Linked DNA regions of Mus musculus. The protein of the gene in region 2 interacts with the protein of the main gene of each other region in a biochemical or structural test. Links are inferred from orthologs where the notes say so. Each region holds a gene or a part of one and is shown on either strand. Other genes may lie near its edges.

What was found.
Region 1: of the proteins of Ptpn6 (region 2) and Ros1, one has a biochemical effect on the other in vitro, tested with the Homo sapiens proteins (2 studies listed by BioGRID and IntAct). The link is inferred for Mus musculus from reciprocal best matches to the Homo sapiens genes PTPN6 and ROS1.
Region 3: the proteins of Ptpn6 (region 2) and Pecam1 form a complex in vitro, tested with the Homo sapiens proteins (2 studies listed by BioGRID, with this or other methods). The link is inferred for Mus musculus from reciprocal best matches to the Homo sapiens genes PTPN6 and PECAM1.

The regions. Positions count from the first base shown.
Region 1 is NC_000076.6:52,192,443-52,196,622, forward strand, and holds the start of Ros1 (proto-oncogene tyrosine-protein kinase ROS precursor), read right to left. Parts: upstream 2,803-4,180; 5' UTR 2,515-2,802; coding exon 2,389-2,514; intron 1-2,388. UniProt on the Homo sapiens protein: Receptor tyrosine kinase (RTK) that plays a role in epithelial cell differentiation and regionalization of the proximal epididymal epithelium. NELL2 is an endogenous ligand for ROS1.
Region 2 is NC_000072.6:124,730,353-124,734,543, reverse strand, and holds the start of Ptpn6 (tyrosine-protein phosphatase non-receptor type 6), read left to right. Parts: upstream 1-1,389; 5' UTR 1,390-1,590; coding exon 1,591-1,598; intron 1,599-1,683; coding exon 1,684-1,806; intron 1,807-2,049; coding exon 2,050-2,244; intron 2,245-4,191. UniProt on the Homo sapiens protein: Tyrosine phosphatase enzyme that plays important roles in controlling immune signaling pathways and fundamental physiological processes such as hematopoiesis.
Region 3 is NC_000077.6:106,712,480-106,716,677, forward strand, and holds the start of Pecam1 (platelet endothelial cell adhesion molecule isoform 3 precursor), read right to left. Parts: upstream 2,803-4,198; 5' UTR 2,574-2,802; coding exon 2,540-2,573; intron 2,450-2,539; coding exon 2,423-2,449; intron 1-2,422. UniProt on the Homo sapiens protein: Cell adhesion molecule which is required for leukocyte transendothelial migration (TEM) under most inflammatory conditions.

The DNA.
Region 1 (4,180 bases), on a different chromosome or scaffold from region 2:
TGAGGATCTCCAGCAAAATGCACTTCTACAACTTAATTTGACTATGAATTTTGGGGGAGGGTTGTTTGAGTGACTGACTGACTGATTGATTGGTTGATTGATTCTATTTTATAAGCCATCTCATAATATTAATAGTCTTAAGAAGATTCACTATTTGTTTCCCTGGAGCACACGGCGTCTAGAATTCAAGTATAAGGCCATTAATATATTGAGCTCACACATAGAGTCTCTCAGTGAACACAAAATTCCCTCTACTCAAACACAGAACTCAGGCTTGTGCTTTCCCCAGCAATTCTAGCATTATTTTCTGCGGTTGGCTTGTTGTGGTCACTGTCTGTCTTACTCTGTAGACAAGTCTATCCTGGAGCTCACTCTGTAGCCCAGACTGACTTCAAACCTGTCCTGATTCTGCATCTGCTTCCTGACTGCAAGAATCACCATGCTTGACTTAATCCTAACATTCTTTTATTCAAGAATGTGTTTCGTGTTTAAATAAAAAACAGAAACTGCCTTCATATCAGCCACCTATCAAAATCCTGACATCAAAGATGCTCTTCACAGCAAATGTCCACATTAAAAAGGACGGCAGAGAATACTAAGTGTCTCATGCTTCGTGGCTACGTTCATTTGTCCATCCACCTACTGCTGCCCCTCCCAAACCTGAGTGGGAGGCTCAGTTTAGAACACTTTATTACATTTACTGGTCAAACCAGCAGACTGTGTCTCTTGCAATGGCCACCTCAGGGCCTGTGCCCTCTGCTGTAGGTGGTGAACGGAAGGCAGCTCAACAAAGGAACTGTCTGGGCTACCAAACCCTGAGGGCATGGAGCCCACACACAGAGAACAATAAGGAGAACTCAAAGCAAAATGAAGACTGCAGTTTTGAAAAATAATCAAAATCAGTTTCAAGAGTAAGGAAATGGATATCCTGCAGTGGTACAGGCTCTTAACAGAGCTCTCTAAATATGTTAAAGAGCTTATTTCCAAAGACCTTCAGGATATAAAGGGAAATCTATAATATAAGGTAAAATGAAATGGTTTTATGTAAAATTATAAATATGTTTAAGCCAGCCATAGTAGCTTGCTATTGTAATTCTAATCTGAGGCAGACTGGAGGATGAGGATTGCCAGGATTTGGGGGCCAACTTTGACTACAAAGTGAACCTCTGTCTCAAAATAAAATTATATATACACACAACATACATACCAAGATATGTTTGAGAAAAATATCAAGGGTTAACAGAGGGACCACCAGTCTTCCTTCATTTTTTCCTGTTTAATCATATAAACCATATGGTGGGGGAAGGAGTGTGTGTGTGTGTGTGTGTGTGTATCCATTGACTTCTCCGGAAGTGAATGAAGAGGTCTTTTTTAGGGTAGAAGAGCCTATTCTCATACAGCTCCTATAGGCTAGGCTGGCATGACATTCCTGCCCCCCTGCCTCAGCTTCTCTCACAATACTTGCTTCTATTTGCAAGTTTGTAACATAACTACAAAAACGCAAAGCAAACCTGTCTGCATCCAAAGCAGTGAGATCTTGGCTAAGACCTTTGTAAACTCTTTCTAAATTGCTACCATCTACAGTTTGCCCAAGCAACAATCTACTGCTTTACTTAAAACGGATGTGTGTAACACCTTTTTCTAATCTGCCAGAGACCTCTACCTCCAATATGTTAGCTTAAGGATGAGTACGGTGTTAGACACTTTGTTACTTTATAATAAGGGTACAAAATGGCATACCTAATCTATCATGTTATTTAACCCTTAGATAGGAACAAGGCATGTCTTCCTGGTACAGCCTTTGGTTTTTCAACTTAATTTAGGAACATAAAATATACAAGTAAGCACACCCAAGTCACTATCATACAAGTGAGGCAATATCATACAATACAGACAAAAAGGACCACAATAAGAAAGAAAAATGTTCATGTCAAAACTGATTAGTCAACCTGAGGAATTCTTAGGAAGAAATAAAGAGACATAAATAATCCTGTCTTTTGACACAAAATGTTGTACCTGGCCTCTGCATCTGCTTCCTAGTCAGCGATCCATCCATAGTACCAACAAAGTGTACCAAAATTCTAGTTTATATTTTAAACAAATATTAATTATTTTATAATAAATTACTGAGTAGTTTGTAAAATCTGATTCCATTTAAGGCCTCCCATACCCCCCCGCTGAAAAATCTAGAATTTGATAATAATTAAATAAAATATCCTTCCTTACATTTTGAAGCTATATATTCTCCTTCTTTGGGGGGTTTGGGGGGAAGGGAGAGACAATAAGCAGTTTTCTTTGCGACCTTGTCATGAAAAGAAAACGAACCTGTCAGTTGCAAGTGGGATTCATATCCTAATCTCTGCAAAGACAAAAGTCGGTGAAACTTACCAGGTTAGTTACACAGGACGTTAGGCAGCTGCTCAGAACTGTACTCTGTGCCACAGAAATCCATATGATGCACCCAAGGACCACAAACTTCACAAGTTTCAGGGTGAGCCAGCAGATGTTCTTCATCCTCAGGAGGGCTGGCTTCCTACACAGCTGGGGTCCTCATAGCTCCACCTTGCTTTAAGAACTCTTTAGGCTTCATACTTCAGTTGCAAGTGTGACAAGTAGGTTTTCTGTTTTCTTTCGCAATGTTAGAATATCATTCTCTCTTTAAAAAGAATATTGAGGCCTTTGGATTAGTTTAGACCTTTGGATCTTAGATAGCCCAGAACATCGCAGCAAGGCTATTTTATAGTTTAGCTTCCTTTTGCTCCCATAACAAAAGACATTCCCTGGCTAAAAGTTAGATCCAGGAAGAGCTCTACACATGCTAAATAAACAGGAGAAACTTAGATTGCTTTCCAGCGAGCCAGGCCACACAATCCTGACACAGGACACTTAGGTCGGTCAGCCACCGCACTTCTTTGAGGTTGACTGAGCTATGCAGGAAATTGGGTTTTGACTATGCATGCTTAGCAAACCGTATCTCATAACTGTTTTAAAAATTAGAAGCTTTAGTAGTATGCAATGAGCTAGAGAAGAAAATAGGAATGCTTTGAAACCAAACACTTTTTTTTTTCAAAGAGCAAAAGAAGCTGAAAACTAGACATGTTCTCTAAGGGCAAGTTCAAGACAAGGAAGTTTGTTAAAGAACTCTCAGAATTTGACTACATATTAACTAAAATACTGCCTTATCAGGTCTATTGAGACAGAAACCAAGCACCATAGAGAACTAAGATACTTACAAGTGTAGCACCTTGGGAAGAAAATATGATACAAAATCTCCATGGGTCTATCACTCAGCCAAAGTTCACCTGAAGCTACAACAAAGAATTTAAAATCAGCAAGCTGCAGGATTCAGTCACTCTGGATAGACTGACTCCAGTTTCTCTCCACCATCCCCCACGCCACAGACAGAATTTTCTATGCCCAGGTTAGACTTCAAGTCTCTCTGTAGTTGAGGATAACTTTGAACTCTGCTCCTTCTGCCTCTTCCATATTGTTTTTAAGATTTATTTATTATGTAGTGCTATGCCTACATGCACACCTGTGTGCCAGAAGAGGGCACCAGGTCTTATTAGCAGATGGTTATGAGCTACCATATTGCTGGAAATTGAACTGAGGGCCTCTGGAAGAGCCATCTCTTTAACTCTGAGCCATCTCTCCTCCACCATCAGCACCACCCCACCACCACCACCACTACCATGACCCTTCTTGTTATTGTTGTTGTGGTTGTAGTTGTCCTCCTCCTCCTCCTTTTTCTTTTTCTTCTTCTTCTTCTTCTTTGTTTTTCTTCTTCTTCTTCTTCTTTGTTTTTCTTCTTCTTCTTCTTTGTTTTTCTTCTTCTTCTCCTCCTCCTCTTTCTCCTCCTCCTCCTCCTCCTCCTCCTCCTCCTCCTCCTCCTCCTCCTCCTCCTCCTCCTTCTTCTTCTTCTTCTTCTTCTTCTCCTTCTTCTTCTTCTTCATTTCTTTGAGACAGGGCCTTACTATGTAGTCCTGACTGATCTAGAACTCACCGTGTAGACCAAGCTGACCTCAAACTCAGAGAGATCCACCTGCCTCTTTCTCTCAAATGTTGGGATTAGAGGTATGCACCACCATGCCTGGTCTAAACTTGAATATTTTTTCTTGTTTCTTCAAGACAGGATATCTCTGTGCAGACCTCACTGTCCTGAAACTCATTTTGTAGACTA
Region 2 (4,191 bases):
GTGGTTGAGCCTTTGCCTTGCGAGTTTGAGGTCCTAAGTTCAAACCCTAGGACTGCAGAAGTGTGAAGGGAATCAAATGAATAAGGAAAAGAAATAGGGTGGAAGATGTACACTGCCCAAGGATGCCTGCCCAAGGATGCTCCTCACACTGTTTAAGGGACTGAGAGTCTGGGTTGGTTTTGTTGTTCTTGTTGTTGAAACAGGTCTCACTATATAGCGCTAGATATCCTGGAACTCACTGTATAGACCAAGTTGGCCTCAAACTCACAGAGAGCTGCCTGCCTATGCCTCCCAAGTGTTGGGATTAAAGGCATGGGTTACCATGCCCAGCTAGGACTGGGGTTCTAATTTCAGTATTATAAAACAAACAAACAAACAAACAAACAAACAAACCAAAACTAACCAATCAAAACACCTCAGACAATAAACCCTTAAAAGATATAAGGTGCTCTGTCCCATCTCCCTTCTCCAGCAGCCTGTGTCCCTTGCTAAGGAAGATACCAATATAAATTGGGCAGCTTGTTTCCCCTCTGGTCTTGGCTTGGTAGTATTTGCATCTTTTTTTGTATTCATCCTGGGGTTTACATACACAAGGTCCCATAAGCCTGAAGGCTGAGCGCTCCTAAAGTTTAAAGCCCTCCCTGTGAGCGTCTGCCCTTGTTGGGACCCTGGCCATAAACCCTAACCTTTAGGAGATACCTTCCCACCCCACCCCTCCCTGCTGACAGTCAGGGTATAGGAAGGAGGCCTAGGCCCATGATGACAGAGCTGCACAAGGTTGCTTTGTGGGGGCTCTCAGCTGTGATGATAGCATCTCCTTTGGACAAGGAGTCTATTGACTACTGTTCTTTGGGTCCTGAGGGCTGGCAAGCAGAATTCAAAAGTCATTGGCTTTGAAACTATTTAGGTCTGAATCCTGCAACTCACTAAGGGTAAGACCTGGGGGCAATTCCTCAAACTTCTTGGCCTCAGTTTCCTTGTCTGTGAAGTGGGGATAAAGATAGTGCCTGAGGAATGAGGCCCTGGTGACCTGTAACTCACAGGAGGCATGAAAATGACATTGTAGCAATGAGTCTGGCAGGCTGCGACACTCCATTAAATGACGGTGCCACTGCACACGATCATTATTAGACTGTGCCTAAGAATAATTCTGAGTAGAGGCAGCTGCTGGAGGAGGAAGGGTTGACCTGATAATGTGGATATTCACTGTGCGTGACTCTTGACCTGCCACACGTGTGCCTTACCTCTTGAGTCATGAATATTTACTGCCTTGCCCCTGTGCCTTTGTTGGCAGACTGTGGGAAGTGGGCCCTCCCCCACCCTGCCACCCTCCAGCTCCTCTTCCCTCGCTCTGAAAAGAGAAGTTCTAGTGAGTTCCCCTAAGGGGTCGGCCGCGCCCCTTCCTGTCTCCGCCCTGCTGGCTGCCCCAGGCCAGTAGAGTGGTAGCCCGGGGAGCAGGACTGCAGGTTGGCTTTGGAGGCCTGGGCTCTGAGAGCCTTGCCTGAGGCTCATCTCTAGAGTTTGTACGTGCCTGCCCAGACAAACTGTTCCCTCCACATTTTCTGCAGCCAATTCAGTGAGAACCCCAGGATGGTGAGGTAAGGGCCTGGGACCCATGGAGGATAGGAAACAAGGGTGGCTGGAGCCCTGGGGATATTCCCTCACTGCCCTGTGCACTTTTAGGTGGTTTCACCGGGACCTCAGCGGGCCTGATGCAGAGACCCTGCTGAAGGGCCGGGGAGTCCCTGGGAGCTTCCTGGCTCGGCCCAGCCGCAAGAACCAGGGTGACTTCTCCCTCTCAGTCAGGTGGGTGGCCCTCCCTGCACCTTGGCAGCTCATTGTGTGGGTCCGGAGCATTCCTGGGTTCCCTGGGTTGTGTTGTCTCCTCATGATACATTTCTTCCCTTCTGTCCCTGCCTGTCGCCCTAGCATGTGCCCATAACTGTCTATGTCTACTCCATGCCTATGTGCTTTTGCATCGAGACCCCTGTCCCCCCAAGCCCACCCCGCTGCTGCTCATGTATCTCACTACCTGGTGGTGCCTCGCAGGGTGGATGATCAGGTGACTCATATTCGGATCCAGAACTCAGGGGACTTCTATGACCTGTACGGAGGGGAGAAGTTTGCGACGCTGACAGAGCTGGTCGAGTATTACACGCAGCAGCAGGGCATCCTGCAGGACCGAGATGGCACCATCATCCACCTTAAGTACCCACTGAACTGCTCGGACCCCACCAGTGAGAGGTGAGGGGCATTGCAGGTTGGCCCTGTCCCTTGAGATAAGTGGACATCCAGACCAGGTGTCCTTCTGTTCCCAGTCCGTTCTTCATCCCTGATCTTCCACACCTGTTCTCTCAGTGTTCTCAGCCTCTTCCCTCTGTAGGCTGATGATTCCCATGTATCTAACCAATCCCCTGTCCCCTGAGGAAGCCAGAGAAGGGTTCCCCTTGCCTTCCTGCAGGGTTCCTGCTGCCTAGCAACCTCATCCTGAGAGTAACAGAGAGGCCACTCCTTGTCTCTGGTGTTTCTCATCAGGTCGGCCCTATTACTAGAAAGCTTGTCCTACCATGGAACTCTGGTGCCTTCTTCCAGCCCTCTACACAGCCTGGGGCTCTAGGTCCCTGTCTTAATAAGGTCTTAGAGGTCCACTGGTACTGGGGTACTCAGGGACTTCTCTCAGCATCACACTGAGGTGGGGCTGGACAGAGCTTGGTGAAAGCAAGGTCGCTGAGGTGGTCACAGGTAGAGAAGGGCCCAGGCTTATCTGACTTAAGGAGACCCTCAGGATATCCCCAACTAGTGCTGCAAAGACACGGCCCCCATAGCTGGGCTGGCTGTTCTCTTGTGGTCTTCTCAGAGCATGTGCAAAGGGAAGGTTATGGAGATAAATGTCCCTCATTCATTACACTGGGGCTCGTCTTAGCTGTATAGCACAGGGACTGACTGGCAACCCCTATTAACTCAGGGTTTTCTTATGGACTCTGGGGCTCTGCGTACCTGTTCCTGTCCTGTGTCTGTGTATTTACAGTTGAAATGATTCCGAACTTGATCCCCACACCCTTCTCTGCTGGGGCCTGAACCCGGGGCCTTGTCTGAGTTGAGTGAGCGCTTTGCCACTAGCTACCTTCCACGCAGTTTTAAAGTCTGTTTTGAGATTCGTGCCTACAAACTTAGCTCAATAGTTTTGTTCACAAGTTACTGACTAAAACTGAGGACTGAAGGTCTAGGGACTGTGGCTCAGGTGGTGAGTGCTTGCCTGCCATGCATTAAACACTGGGTTCTATTCCCTGTCGTGCATAAACCTAGTGTGAGTGACACGTGCCTGTGAGCCCAGGTGGAGGCAGGAAGACCAGAAGAAGGTCAAGTTTATCCTCCATTCCATAGCAAGTTTGAGGCCGGATAGGGCTCCATGAGACCTTGACTTAAACTAAAACAAGCGGAGTGGAGGTGGTACCATAGGCCTTTTATCCCAGCACTCAAAAGAGGCAGGGGAAGGTGGATGTCTGGAAGTTCAAGGCCAGCCTGGTCTATCAAGTAAGTTCCAGTACAGCCAGGGCTCCACAGAGAAACCTTGTCTTGAAAAACCAAAACCCCCAAACAAAACAACAAAAAAACTCCAACCCAAACAAACAAACAAACAACCAACCAAAAAAAACCCTCAAAACACAAAGAAAACCACAAACAAACAAACAAAGAAGCTGGAGGACACTCCCTAGAAGGCTTTCCTCTTCTGCTGGTGAGTGGGAAGGGAGGGCCTGCCCCAGGTTGTCTCTCCTCTCCTATCCTACCTGCAGCCCTCAGGATGGTTTGGCCTCTCTCTCAGATTCGCTTTGAGCCCCTTGTTTTCTCTTTGTTGCTGACTCAAGCCAGGATGCGCCCTGCTAGAGTAGACCATGGAGGTACAGCTGAATGGTGGCTGCAGTGTTCCCTGTGATCAGGAAGGAGGTGGGAGCTAAACAGGTGTTAGGAGAACAGGCCAGGGCAGTGGGGAAGCACAGGACACCCTGTGGATGATACCCTCTGACAGGGCTGCGGAGGACTCCAAGGGACACTTTGGATGGCCATTTGGGAAGAAGCTGTCTCATCCCTAACCTTAGTGTGTGTGGAAGCCATGACCCAATGGCTCCTCTCTTTGCCCCTCCTCTTCTGGGAAATTTGCATTTGTCCCCTCAATAGTGAACTCTCTGCCTG
Region 3 (4,198 bases), on a different chromosome or scaffold from region 2:
TCTACCTGCCTCTGCCTCCCAAGTGCTAGGATTAAAGGCCTGTGCCACCATGCCCAGCTCCACCCCCTTCTTCTTTTTACCCTTTCATATTTGGGAATATATTATATAATAGCCTCAGGCCATGAGGAATTAAGTCAGGCTGCACTGGGCAATAGTCCTAGCCATAAAGAATGGCTCCGCCCCAGCCTGACTGGTCAGCTCCACCTGCAGAAACAAGGTGCCCAAGTATCAAAAAGAACCCACCCTGCTTCCAGTCCAACTACAAAAAAATAGCTGTAACTTCCTGGTAGTGATGCATATACACACATGCACACACACACACGCACCCCTACATATGCACTACGTGTGCACATACACACACACATCCCCAGCCCCTCATCCTTCATCCCTGGGGAAGGTTGAGGCTCCTTCCAGTTCCAACAAAGCAACTTCAGTCTATTGCCTGCTTCTCTGGGCCATGTTTCTTACAGCAGATGTCTTGTGAAGCAGAGAGAGAGACAGAGACAGAGACAGAGACAGACACAGAGATGGGAGACAAGCTATGGGGATCTTGAGATGCAAGAACCCTCTAGGGCTGGCAGGGCAGAACCCAGACAGGAGACAGAGAGTGCTGGGATGTAGTTCAGTCAGTAGAGTGCTTGCCTCACATGCTTAAAGCCCTGGGTTTGACTGCCAGTGCTGCATAAACCTGGTGTGGTGTGTGCCTATAATCTCAGCCCTTGGGAGAGGAAAGTAGGAGGACCTGAAAGTCATTGTCATCTGAGCTACACAGTGGGTTTCAGGTATATGACACCCTGAGGGCAAGAGAGAGATGGAGTGGGGATAGGGGGCACGGAAGGGTACAGAGCAAATAGGGCACAAATTTAAACTATAAAGGAGGGCTGGGGTGATTGCCCGGGATCATTTACTAATCCTATAGACAGCACAAATGACTCCTCCTCCCTTACTCCAATCTCAACTTTACCCTGCTCGAGCCACCAGGTCTGTGGGTGGTTTCCATTTTATAGTCAGGGGAAAAAGGTCCCAAGAAGCAAAGCCAAGCCGGCTGAGTGACACCAGGCTGGGGAGTATTGGGGAGGCTAAGGCAAGAGGAGTTAGAGTTAGTCCCTAGGCAGCCCGGGCTACACAGTGGGTTCAAGACTACCTTAGCAGTGTGAGACCCCAGTCCCCAACCAGAGCAAGCTAAGTAAAGCCAAGCACAAGCCCCAGAGAGATGTCTGGGTTCCAGGGAGCGGAGGCCGTAGTGCTGACAAGCCCTGACATTCTAGGCTGAGTCATGTCTTTCTGAGGCTCACCCATCCCACCCTTTAGTGGGGATGACTTGAAGACAATACACAGTCTGTCTCCAGGTGTTGCCAAGGGAGCCAGAAGCCTAAGGAATCACAGACTCACAGACCACAGCCCTCCCCACCCTGGGGCCACAGCTCCATCCCTGGCTCAACTCAGCCCTGTCACGTTCTTCAGCTCAAAAATGCCTGCAGCCCAGCATCCCTAGTCTTCCCACACTGGAATAACTTTTGACTGAGCCAGTGTAATCTGTGGCCTTCTTCCTGACCCACAATCCCTGGGCTGGGCTGAGCCTCTTCCTTCAGAGTCTCTGATGGACGGAGCGAGACAGATCCTCTTAATCTGAAAAATTCGGAGGTTCCGAATCAGCTCTCGAGTGGATGATAGGTCTGACTTTAAAGACAGGCAGAACCCTTCCCCACAAGCAAGCTCAGATAGGAGCGGAGCCTCCCCGGTGGGAGGGAAAGGGGATCTGGCTGGTCCTTTTTGTTACTCTCTTAGGACAGAGGGAGTCCTGACACCCATTTACTGTCTGCTCCTTCAGCCTCCATAGTCTGTCAAGTCAACTGAGTCTCATTTGTAAATTAAAACAAGTGAAAGGAAAAAAAAATACTTTTTTAAGTTTTTATTTTTTGGGAGTCGGTTTTGTACTGTTTCACGTAGTAGCTCAGGCCTCCCTCAAACTCCTATGGAGCCGAAGCTGGACTTCACTACTGATCTTTCTGTGTCTGTTTTCCAAGTACTGGGATTACAGACTCTAAATCCAAGCGAATAAAGAGAAGAGTTTGAAAGTAAACAATTAGAGGCATAGTATGATGTAAAAAGAAATAGCTTATGACAGAAAGACCACAAACATATAAGGAATCATATATATACATATATACATATAAGGAATTTTTTTAAAAAAACCCATCTCTCCCATTCCAACAAACAGAAACCCACCAAGATGTAAGACTGGTGTTCAGCAATTTTCTCCTACACCGCTGTCTCTAATACACACTCTTTGAACCTTGATTTAGAACAAGGCTTTGAGAGTTTTCTTAGTTGTTGTAAACACCAACCCTAAGCAGTCTGACATGAGTTAATTTCAGAAAAGACACAAAGAAGGAAGCCATGTGAAAATACCAGGACTTACAGTTTTCCTCAGCCTGGAGGCTTGCATCTGGAAGAGAAAGAAAAAGAAAGCCAATCTGTTGATTTCACGAATTCAAGTCTCATAAGAAGGGAAGAAGGAAGCAGGTTAGAAACTCACAGAGCACCAGCGTGAGTCCCAGAGCCAGGAGCATCTTGTCTGCCGACTGAGGCCCACCTCAGCTGAATCCTGAAAGACTTCTGCAGACTGAAGCACTCAGCTAGTTCTGTCTTCCGGCCATGCCTCAGGGGCAGAATTCTCTTGCCTGCCACAGACCAGAAGCCTGCTGTGTGAAAAGCAGAAACAACTCTGACAACCTCTCCAGGCGCGCAGAGACCAGCTCTGGTACTTGTCAGGTAATGGCGGCCATAGCTGGAAACCAAGAACAATGAGGTCTGGGCTGGCCTGATATCTCCTCAGGAAATGACTGGCCTTCCGGAGGGACCACTGAACCCAATGGCTTTGTCTAGAAGAGGAGAAAACAACAACAACAACCAAAAAAACCCACAAGTAGCATTTGCCTCAAAGTTCTTGCGCTTCTAGCCTCATCTGGGTTTGGGGACTTCTTCTCCTGACAGGACAAGGAGGTTTTATTTCCACTCAAAAGTGCTTTTGTGGGATACCTAGCAAGACCTGTTTGCCTTTCCTGTGGGCTCCCTATGGGGGCTGTATCCATAGAGTGTAAATCTGGGCCTCCTATCCTGCACTGGCCAGCTTCTCCGACAATATGCAGTCCTTGTGAGGAACGCTACTGGTGGCTCAGTAGAAAGAGGGATTTTCTTAAGCCGCTGCAGTGGTCCCTGATCACCGGCTTAGTCACCAAAGGAGCCCCTTTGGCTGTTTGTGTATGTGTGTTTGTGTGTGTGTTTGTGTGTGTGTGACTGTGTATGTATGTATGTATGTGTGTTTGTGTGTGTGTGTGACTGGGTGTATATGTGTTTGTGTGGAACTGTGGGTGTATGTGTGTGTCTGTGACTGTGGGTATATATGTGTGTGTAGTACACACTACTTTCCCCACTGCCAATTCCCAACCTTTCTTATTAAACATTTATTTATTTGTGTATGTGGAAGTAGGGTAGAATGCATGTGTACCACTATGTATTGGGGGGGGTGTGTCAGAGGTCAACGTGTAGAAATTCTCTCCTTCCATTATGTGAGTCCCAGGATCAAACTTAGATCATCAGACTCGACAGCTGGCACCTTTCTCCAGTGAACCGTCCTGTCCCCCTTTCATGCATGTTCATGAGAGAATGAATACATTTTGAGGGAGGAGTGTCTGTGTGCCTGTGTGTGCTTGGAAGCCAGAAGAGGCGATTGTCACGTTCTCCAGAGGTGATGGGACCTGAAATCCAGTCCTCATGATTGCTCTTAATTGCCAAGTCATCTCTCCAGTCCCCAGCTCACCCCTTCTCCCTCCTCCCGACACCCTCCTCCCCTACCATCGGGCTAACATTCCCTTTTCCCTCCCTTCATCCCTTCCTTCTTTATTCTGACCCAGGGGATGGCTAAATGGCAAGATGCCTTTGAACACAACCCTCCCATCACAGACAAACACCCGAGATTGCAGATGTGTGTTTAGCCTTGCCTCCTACGGAATTTTCTAGACTATAAATTGGTTTCTCTCCCTTTGATGTTTGAAAGGTTGTAACATTCTCTGGGAAAAGGCAGACCCCAGGCCTCCCTTACCCAGTTCTTGCTCACCCCCTTGCTTCCCCCTCTACCTTGGAATCATACCACTTCCTTCTTCGCCCTGAGCTCTAGTTGCTAAGGTGTTAAGTT